2 linked regions of the Coturnix japonica genome follow. The protein of the gene in region 2 purifies or fractionates together with the protein of the main gene of each other region. This does not show direct contact. Links are inferred from orthologs where the notes say so. Each region holds a gene or a part of one and is shown on either strand. Other genes may lie near its edges.

Region 1 (4,088 bases), on a different chromosome or scaffold from region 2:
TGATCCAATCAGTACAGCACCGAGAGCACGCTGTAACCAACACACAGCACTGAGTGGATCAACACACAGCACTGAGGATCCAAGCACAGCAGCTGAGTGATTCCAACACACAGGCACTGAGTGATCCAACACAGCACTGAGTGATCCAACACACAGCACTGAGTGATCCAACACAGCACTGAGTGAATACAACACACCACAGCACTGAATGGATCAACACAGCACCTGAGTGGAATATCAACACACGGGCCATGCAAATGAGTGATACCACACAGGCACCTGGAATAGGATCACAACACAGCACTGAGATAGATACCAACACAACAGCATGAGTGATCCAACACGAGCATGAGTTGATGGCCAATGTACAGCACTGGTGATTCAACACTGAGTGATCCAACACACAGCACTGAGTGATCCAACACAGCACTGAGTGATCCAACACAGCACTGAGTGATCCAAGTCCCAGCAAGGAGCTGTGTTAGGAGCTCACCCTCCTCATTGCCCGGCTTGTAGCACTGCCAGATGCGCACGGTCTTGTCGTCGCTGCAGGACGCCAGGCGCTGCCCGCTGCCATCGAACGCGATGCTCCACACGGTGGATTCGTGACCCTCCAACGTGGCACAACAAACCCAGTCGTCCTCCTCCTCGTGGTACAGCTTCACCGTGTCGTCGTAGCTGGCTGAAGCCAGGAGCTGGGACAGGAATGGGATCAACACCCCAAACCCACAGGGATTGCAAAGCCCTGCCCCCATAGAGGACCATTCAAACCCCATCTCTTGGGAGCACTGACTCCTTATGGCCCTGTGGCTCAGATCCTTTCCCATCACACACAGTGATGCCCGCAGGTCCCGCTGCCCTTGAGCTGGGCTCTCACCTCCTGGTTGGGATGCCACACCACGTGCTTGACGTCCTGAGTGTGAGAGTTGAGGACGCTGACACACTCGTATTCCTCCTCTTCATCCACTGCGGGGAAAAACACCTTCCATGAGGGAATGGGGCCAGAAGGGACAGTATTGGGGTCAGAAGGGGCAACAATGGGGCCAGAAGGGACACAGTGGGGATGGAAGGGGCAGCAATGGGGCCAGAAGGGGCAGTATAGGGGGCAGAAGGGACAGCAATGGGGCCACAAGGGGCAGTATAGGGGGCAGAAGGGGCAGCAATGGGGCCAGAAGGGACAGTATAGGGGGCAGAAGGGGCAGCAATGGGGCCAGAAGGGACAGTATAGGGGGCAGAAGGGGCAACAATGGGGCCAGAAGGGACACAGTGGGGATGGAAGGGGCAGCAATGGGGCCAGAAGGGGCAGTATAGGGGGCAGAAGGGNGGGGCAGAAGGGGCAACAATGGGGCCAGAAGGGACACAGTGGGGATGGAAGGGGCAGCAATGGGGCCAGAAGGGGCAGTATAGGGGGCAGAAGGGGCAACAATGGGGCCAGAAGGGGCAGTATAGGGGGCAGAAGGGGCAGCAATGGGGCCAGAAGGGGCAGTATTGAGGACAGCAGGGACACAGTGGGGCCGATGCCCTTGGGGTCCCCTCATTCCCCCCCTCACCTTCCCAGACCCACACGCTCTTGTCCCGGCTGCACGTTGCCAGCAGGCTGCCCGACGGCGCCCAGGCCACCGACTTCACCTCGTTTTCGTGTCCTTCCAATGTGGTGACGCACTGTGGGGGGCACAAGGAGCTGCAGGGCGCCACTATGGGGCTGGGTTATGGGGCTGGGTTATGGGGCTGGGTTATGGGGCTGGGTTATGGGGCTGGGTTATGGGGCTGGGTTATGGGGCTGGTTATGGGGGTTGCTGGGTTAGTGGGCTGGGTTGTGGGCTTGGTTGTGGGGGTGGGCTGGTTATGGGGTGGTTGTGGGGCTGGGTATGGGCTGGGTTATGGGCTGGTTATGGGGCTGTGTTATGGGGCTGTGGGGGGGGTCTGACCTCGAAGCCGTCCTGGCAGCGCTTCCAGATGCACGTGGTGGCGTCGAAGCTGGCAGAGGCCAAATAGGAGCCACAGGGCGACCAGGCCACTCTCCTCACTGTGCGTTGGTGGCCATCAGACAGCACAGCACGGCAAGCCTCCAGCTGACCCTAATAGGGGGGGGGTGGATGGGGGACCCCAATAGGAGCCCAGCCCCCACCCCACCCACGTGTATTAGGGCCATTAAGCCCGCCCCCTCCTTTAAGCCCCTCCCACGCTCCTCTGGCCCCGCCCTTTTTACCCCACCCTCTCGGCTCCGCCTCCTATTGGCCACACCCTCCCTTAGCCCCGCCCCTTCCTTAAGCCCCTCCCACCACCATCTGGCCCCGCCCACATTCACTATGTCTCCGCCTCTACTCGTCAGCCATTGGCTGCGCCCTCTCTTAGCCCCGCCCCCTCCTTTAAGCCCCGCCCACGACCCTCTTAGCCCCGCCCCCTTTCACCGTGTTCCCGCCCCTACTCGTCACCCATTGGCCGCTCCCTCTCATAGCCCCGCCCCCATTCATTGTCCCCGCCCCTACTCATCAGCCATTGGCTGGGGCCTCCCTTAGCCCCGCCTCTACTCGTCAGCCATTGGCTGCGCCCTCTCTTAGCCCCGCCCCCACCCTTGAGGCCCCGCCCCTTCCTTCCGCCCCGTTATCCCCCTCGTTCCCGTTATCCCTCGGTACCGTCCCGCCCCCACACTCTCACGGCCCGGTCCCCGCCGCAGGACGCGATGAGGTTCCCGTTTGGGCTCCACGCCAGGAACCAGCACCGCGCCTCGGGATGCGCCGCCACGCGGCTCTGCAGCACCAGCGCCTCCTTCATCGCGTCGCACCGTAATGACGTCACACCGGAAGCGGAAGCGCCGCCATGTTGCCGCCCTAGTGACGTCACCGCCGCGCTCGCCGGAAGCGGAAGCGGAGCCCGCGGCCTGAGGCGGTGCCGGCTGTTCGGGCCGCAGCCATGTACAACCCGGCCGGGCCCGGGCTGCACGGCAGGGGGAGGCGGCGGGGAACGGCGGGAGGCGGCGGGGGGGGGGCGCTGCCCAAACAACCGGAGCGGAGCCTGGCGTCGGCGCTGCCCGGGGCTCTGTCCATCACCGCGCTCTGCACCGCGCTGGCCGAACCCGCCTGGCTCCGGATCCACGGCGGGACCTGCGGGCGGCAGGAGCTGGGGGTGGCCGATGTGATGGGGACCGTCAGGACCGAGCTGCTGAGGGGTGAGAAACGGGAGAGCGGGGAGAGTGGGGCGGTATAGGGTCCTTATGGGGCTTATAGGGTCCTTATGGGGTTATGGGGTCCTTATGGGGTCCTTATGGGGTCCCTATGGGGCTCGCTATGGGCCCGCTATGGGGTCGCTATGGGGCCGCTATGGGGCCGCTATGGGTTCGCTATAGGGCTCGGTGTGGGGTCCTTATTGGATCGGTATGGGATCGGTATGGGGCTTATTATGGGGTCCTTATGGGGTCAGTATTGGGTCGTTATGGGATCGGTATGTGGCTCGGTATGGGGCTCGCTATGGGGTCGTTATGGGGGTCCGTATGGGGTCGGTCTGGGGCTCCTATGGGGCTCAGTATGGGGTCCTTATGGGGCTCAGTATGGGGCCGGTATGGGATCGGTATGGGGCGTATTATGGGCTCGGTATGGGAATTGGTATGGAGCTGATGGGGCTCGGTATGGGGTTGTTATGGGGTCGGTATGGGGTCCTTATGGGGTTCTTATGGGGTCATTATGGGGTCTTATGGGGTCCTTATGGGGTCGCTATGGGGTCCTTATGGGATAGGTATGAGGCCCTTATGGAGCTCGGTATGGGTATCGCTATGGGGCTCGCTATGGGGTCCTTATGGGGCTCGTTACGGGTCTCATTATGAGTCTCCTTATAGGGTCTTTATGGGGTCTTTATGGGTCTATGGGGTTTTTATGGGGTTTTATAGGGTCGGTATGGGGTTTTTATGGGGTCACTATGGGGTCATTATGGGGTCCTTATGGGGCTCGATATGGGCTTGTTATGGAGTCGTTATGGGGCTCGGTCTGGGGTTGTTATAAGGCTGATGGAGTCCTTATTGGTTGTTATAGGGCCGCTATGGGGCTCCTATGGGTCATTATGGGGCTGAGGTTTGGGAGCAGCCACTTTGTGCT
Region 2 (3,500 bases):
CTATGGTACACGGCCACGATGTAGGCTGCAGGGACACCAATGGGGACAGCCCGTGTTGGGGCAGCAGCAACAGCAGCTGTCTCATGGCAGGGCTCTTGGGATCAACTGCCAGGACCTACTCACCCGACACAATCATCAGGAAGTAGTTCTGGCAGGAGGCAGCCTGCGGCAGGAACTGCACGATGTTCCAGCTGTTCTCCAGCAGCTCCTCCATGTTGGACTCCCCTTCTTCCTCATCTTCTTCCCCTGCCTCCTCTTCTTCCTCACTGTCTCCCTCCTCTAGTGCTTGTTTCTTGCTGGTATCCTTCTGGAACAGCACACGGAGAGACAATGATGTTACAGAACTCGTTGGAGCCAGATGATGCCTCCCCAGTCAGCTCAGCTCCTTGGGGACTGAGAGCTTCCTCTCCCTTACCTCCCCGCAGTGGATGCGAGAATGCACTTTTCCCTTGATACCTCCATAATTAGCTGGATCCATCCAGAGCAGGAACTCCCAGCAGCGGGAGAAAGAAATAGTCAGAGAGTGGAAGATCTCCTTTGAGTGGATGCTGGAGGGAAGAGACTGCAGTCACCCACGACATCAGCGTCTAATGAACAGCCTTCTCCATGGGATGGAGTGGTGTTGGCAATGAGAGGGCAACTCCTGGACAGAATCCTCCAAGAGTTCTGAGAATACAGGCACTGCCCACCTGTTGATGATGTAGTCCATGTAGCTGATGGCATCCTCAATACGCCGCTTCTTGGTGCACAGAATGATCCGGTTGAAGTTGGCGTACACCACCGAAGAGCCGAGGCGCCTGAACTCAGCCACCAACCTGCAGGCAGAGCACAGGAGCTGCATTTGGCACACAGGAAGAACTGCTGCCATCCAGCTCCCTGTTAGCAGCAGACAGCACAGTGGCTCTGATTCGCTGCCCATCTGCAGCCCTGTCCCTTTGGAAGATGCAACAGAAGGAACTGGCTGAGGGTGCCAACAAGCATCCCAGTCACAAGTGCCATGCTATGCCTGTCCCCTCCTTCTCAGTTTTCACTTACTGCAGGAAAAGCTTCTTCATCATGTTGTGCAATGTGCGGTGCAGTGCTGGGTCATAGAGCAATGAGGAAGGAGAGCGAAGCCAGCGGTAGAAGTGAATGACCTGGTTGTCTGCATAGATGTTGTGGTACTGCGTGATCTCCTTCACCCAGCTCACCACCATGCTCTTCAGAATCCTGTCAGGGAGCACAGAGGAATATTACCCCACTGGCCACAAACAATCCCTTCCTCCTTCCAGAAAGGGACATGCCTTCAAAGATATGTGGGATGACTCTATGGTCCTCAGCCACAGGGTAAATATGTGCCTCTGTAAACTCCCAGCTGCTCCAGCCCTACCTGAATGTGTTGGAGCAGAGGGCAGTTTCATCATAGCTGGCTGGGATGTTGGCAGCTTGGTTCCCTGTCACCATGTCTTCCAAGGATGCCTGCTGAATTACGTCAAAGCTGATGCTCATGCTGGAACCTCCTTCCATATCATTTACATGATGGGACTGCAGCACCGTGTTCACAGCCAGGCTCTGGATGTCCAGCTCCAGACACACTACAAAGTACAACCACTCAGCAGGCAGGCAGGGCATCCCCATCCCAGGCTTCCTAGTGCTGCTATTGGTGTCCATAAATTAGAACTGGATCTACACATGGATACTTGCGTACATTTTCCCATTGCACACAGGACCTCCCATCCCTGCATCATGCCCACAACAAACACCTCACCCAGATCACTGCCAAACCATCAAAGCTTTGCGGCACTACTGCCAGCTCAGAGCTCGTGCATCCAGCCCCGTGCACTGCTCACAGAGCAGCACACCTGGCTCTGCCCTCCTTACCTGTGGAGTAGCAGCCGGGGTTGTTAATCTCCACCGAGGCTCTCTCATCAAACTCCATGACGAGGCGGTTGTCATCAGCCTCCTTCCCCCCCAGGTCGGGGCGGGCAGTGGGGGAGAGCCACAGCAAATGGTTGTGACGACGGAGGTGTCGTGAGAAGAAAAGGTCAGAGCCAAAGGTGGAGATGTCATCAGGGAGGTTCCCGATGGGAATGTGATAATATCTGGAGTAAATAGACAATTGCAGTCATTAGGAGTGAGCACAGCTATGCCTGCCCCAACAAGGAACGCAGCACCTGCCCTTGGCATGGCTGCAGTCTCTTCCCCATCCAGCGAGGAGCACAGCAACCCCAGGGCAACGTGGCCAACCCCAGGGCAACGTGGCCAACCCCAGGGACACGTGGCCAACCCCAGGCACCTGCTCATCTCAAAGGCCTGTGACAGGCACGTGTCCAGGTTGAGGTAATGGCGGATCATGCGTCGGGCTGCATGGCGCTGCCAGTCCAGGACTGAGTAGCTGATGTCATCTGTCACCCGGATGGGGACCAGAGGGAACTCCTCGAGGATGGGGACGCCACTCGCCAGCCGCTTCAGCTCCCAGTTGGACTGCACAGCGATCAATGTGGGACCTCGGCGCTCATCCTGTGAGCAGAAGACATGTCCTGCACCTCTCCAGGCAGCACTAGGGCTCCACTGGAGGCCATCAGGCCATTTGTTGCACAGAAGGGACCTTCAGCACAGCAGCTCTTGGAGCACCCAGCTCTGCAGCAATCAGCCCCAAACATGGCAGAACACCCACATCTCTGCAGCAGTGCCTCCCACAGCACCTTCCCCCCACAATACACCCATGGGGTGCCTCCAGCTCTCACCTTGTAACCCAGCAGCAGCCGCTGGATGGCTCTGTAGATGGCCTTGGGGTCAGTCTCGGCACGCACTTCGAAGTTGTGCTTGTCTGGAGGCAGCAGCTCCTCACCCACCCTTTCCAGCAGCGCTCCTCGTTCCGCTGAGAACATGGTGGTGAGGTTTGGCATCTGGTTGCTGCGCACCTGGAACCAGAGTGGGACACAGTGAGGGAGGAGGCTGCATGCTGGCAGCTCAGGACAGGTCCGACCCTGCCATCCCTGATGAAAACCCACTGCTGTCTGCATGGAGAAAGCCTCCAGGCTCCTACCGTGTCCAGCACAAAGACAGCAGCCTTGCGTTGCGCAGGGATGAAGAGGCCGAAGAGGGCCCTGCTGCCCTGGGAGCTGTGGTAGAGGTAGATGTGGCGAATGCTCCCTACGGATGAAGAGCACAAGTGGTGTGTGCTGGCTGTTGGGTGCCAGGCACACAGCCAGTACCCCCACCTGCTGACTCACCTGGCTCCAGGTAGGGGAACTGGGCCAGCGAGCGCATCTCCAGGTGCTCGATGTCGAAGGTTTCAGCCTCACGGCCCGTCAGGTGCCGGACGAGCTGCCTGCTGACCATGCAGACACAGCCCAGCTGGATCAGGGCCCTCAGCAGCAGTGGCACCTGCACCAAGAGATGTGGGTGGAGGGCAACTCTCAGCTCAACTCCCCTCGGCACCCCTGAAGGCAACGAGGCTCAAAAACATGGGGATCTGTGGTGCCTCAGGGCTGCCTTTGGTACCATTGCAGACCACA

The links.
Region 1: the proteins of POLE (region 2) and CIAO1 purify together in Homo sapiens (affinity purification with western blotting; 3 studies listed by BioGRID, with this or other methods). This does not show direct contact. The link is inferred for Coturnix japonica from reciprocal best matches to the Homo sapiens genes POLE and CIAO1.

What each region holds. Positions count from the first base shown.
Region 1 is NC_029537.1:1,034,588-1,038,675, reverse strand, and holds the start of CIAO1 (probable cytosolic iron-sulfur protein assembly protein CIAO1), read right to left. Parts: upstream 2,801-4,088; 5' UTR 2,776-2,800; coding exon 2,626-2,775; intron 2,079-2,625; coding exon 1,929-2,078; intron 1,663-1,928; coding exon 1,551-1,662; intron 967-1,550; coding exon 878-966; intron 696-877; coding exon 494-695; intron 1-493. Other genes in the region: TMEM127 (transmembrane protein 127), read left to right, coding at 2,914-3,169. UniProt on the Homo sapiens protein: Key component of the cytosolic iron-sulfur protein assembly (CIA) complex, a multiprotein complex that mediates the incorporation of iron-sulfur cluster into extramitochondrial Fe/S proteins.
Region 2 is NC_029530.1:8,891,167-8,894,666, forward strand, and holds part of POLE (DNA polymerase epsilon catalytic subunit A), read right to left. Parts: intron 3,370-3,500; coding exon 3,216-3,369; intron 3,136-3,215; coding exon 3,029-3,135; intron 2,904-3,028; coding exon 2,727-2,903; intron 2,500-2,726; coding exon 2,276-2,499; intron 2,082-2,275; coding exon 1,861-2,081; intron 1,575-1,860; coding exon 1,370-1,574; intron 1,210-1,369; coding exon 1,036-1,209; intron 816-1,035; coding exon 690-815; intron 549-689; coding exon 416-548; intron 308-415; coding exon 124-307; intron 26-123; coding exon 1-25. UniProt on the Homo sapiens protein: Catalytic component of the DNA polymerase epsilon complex. Participates in chromosomal DNA replication.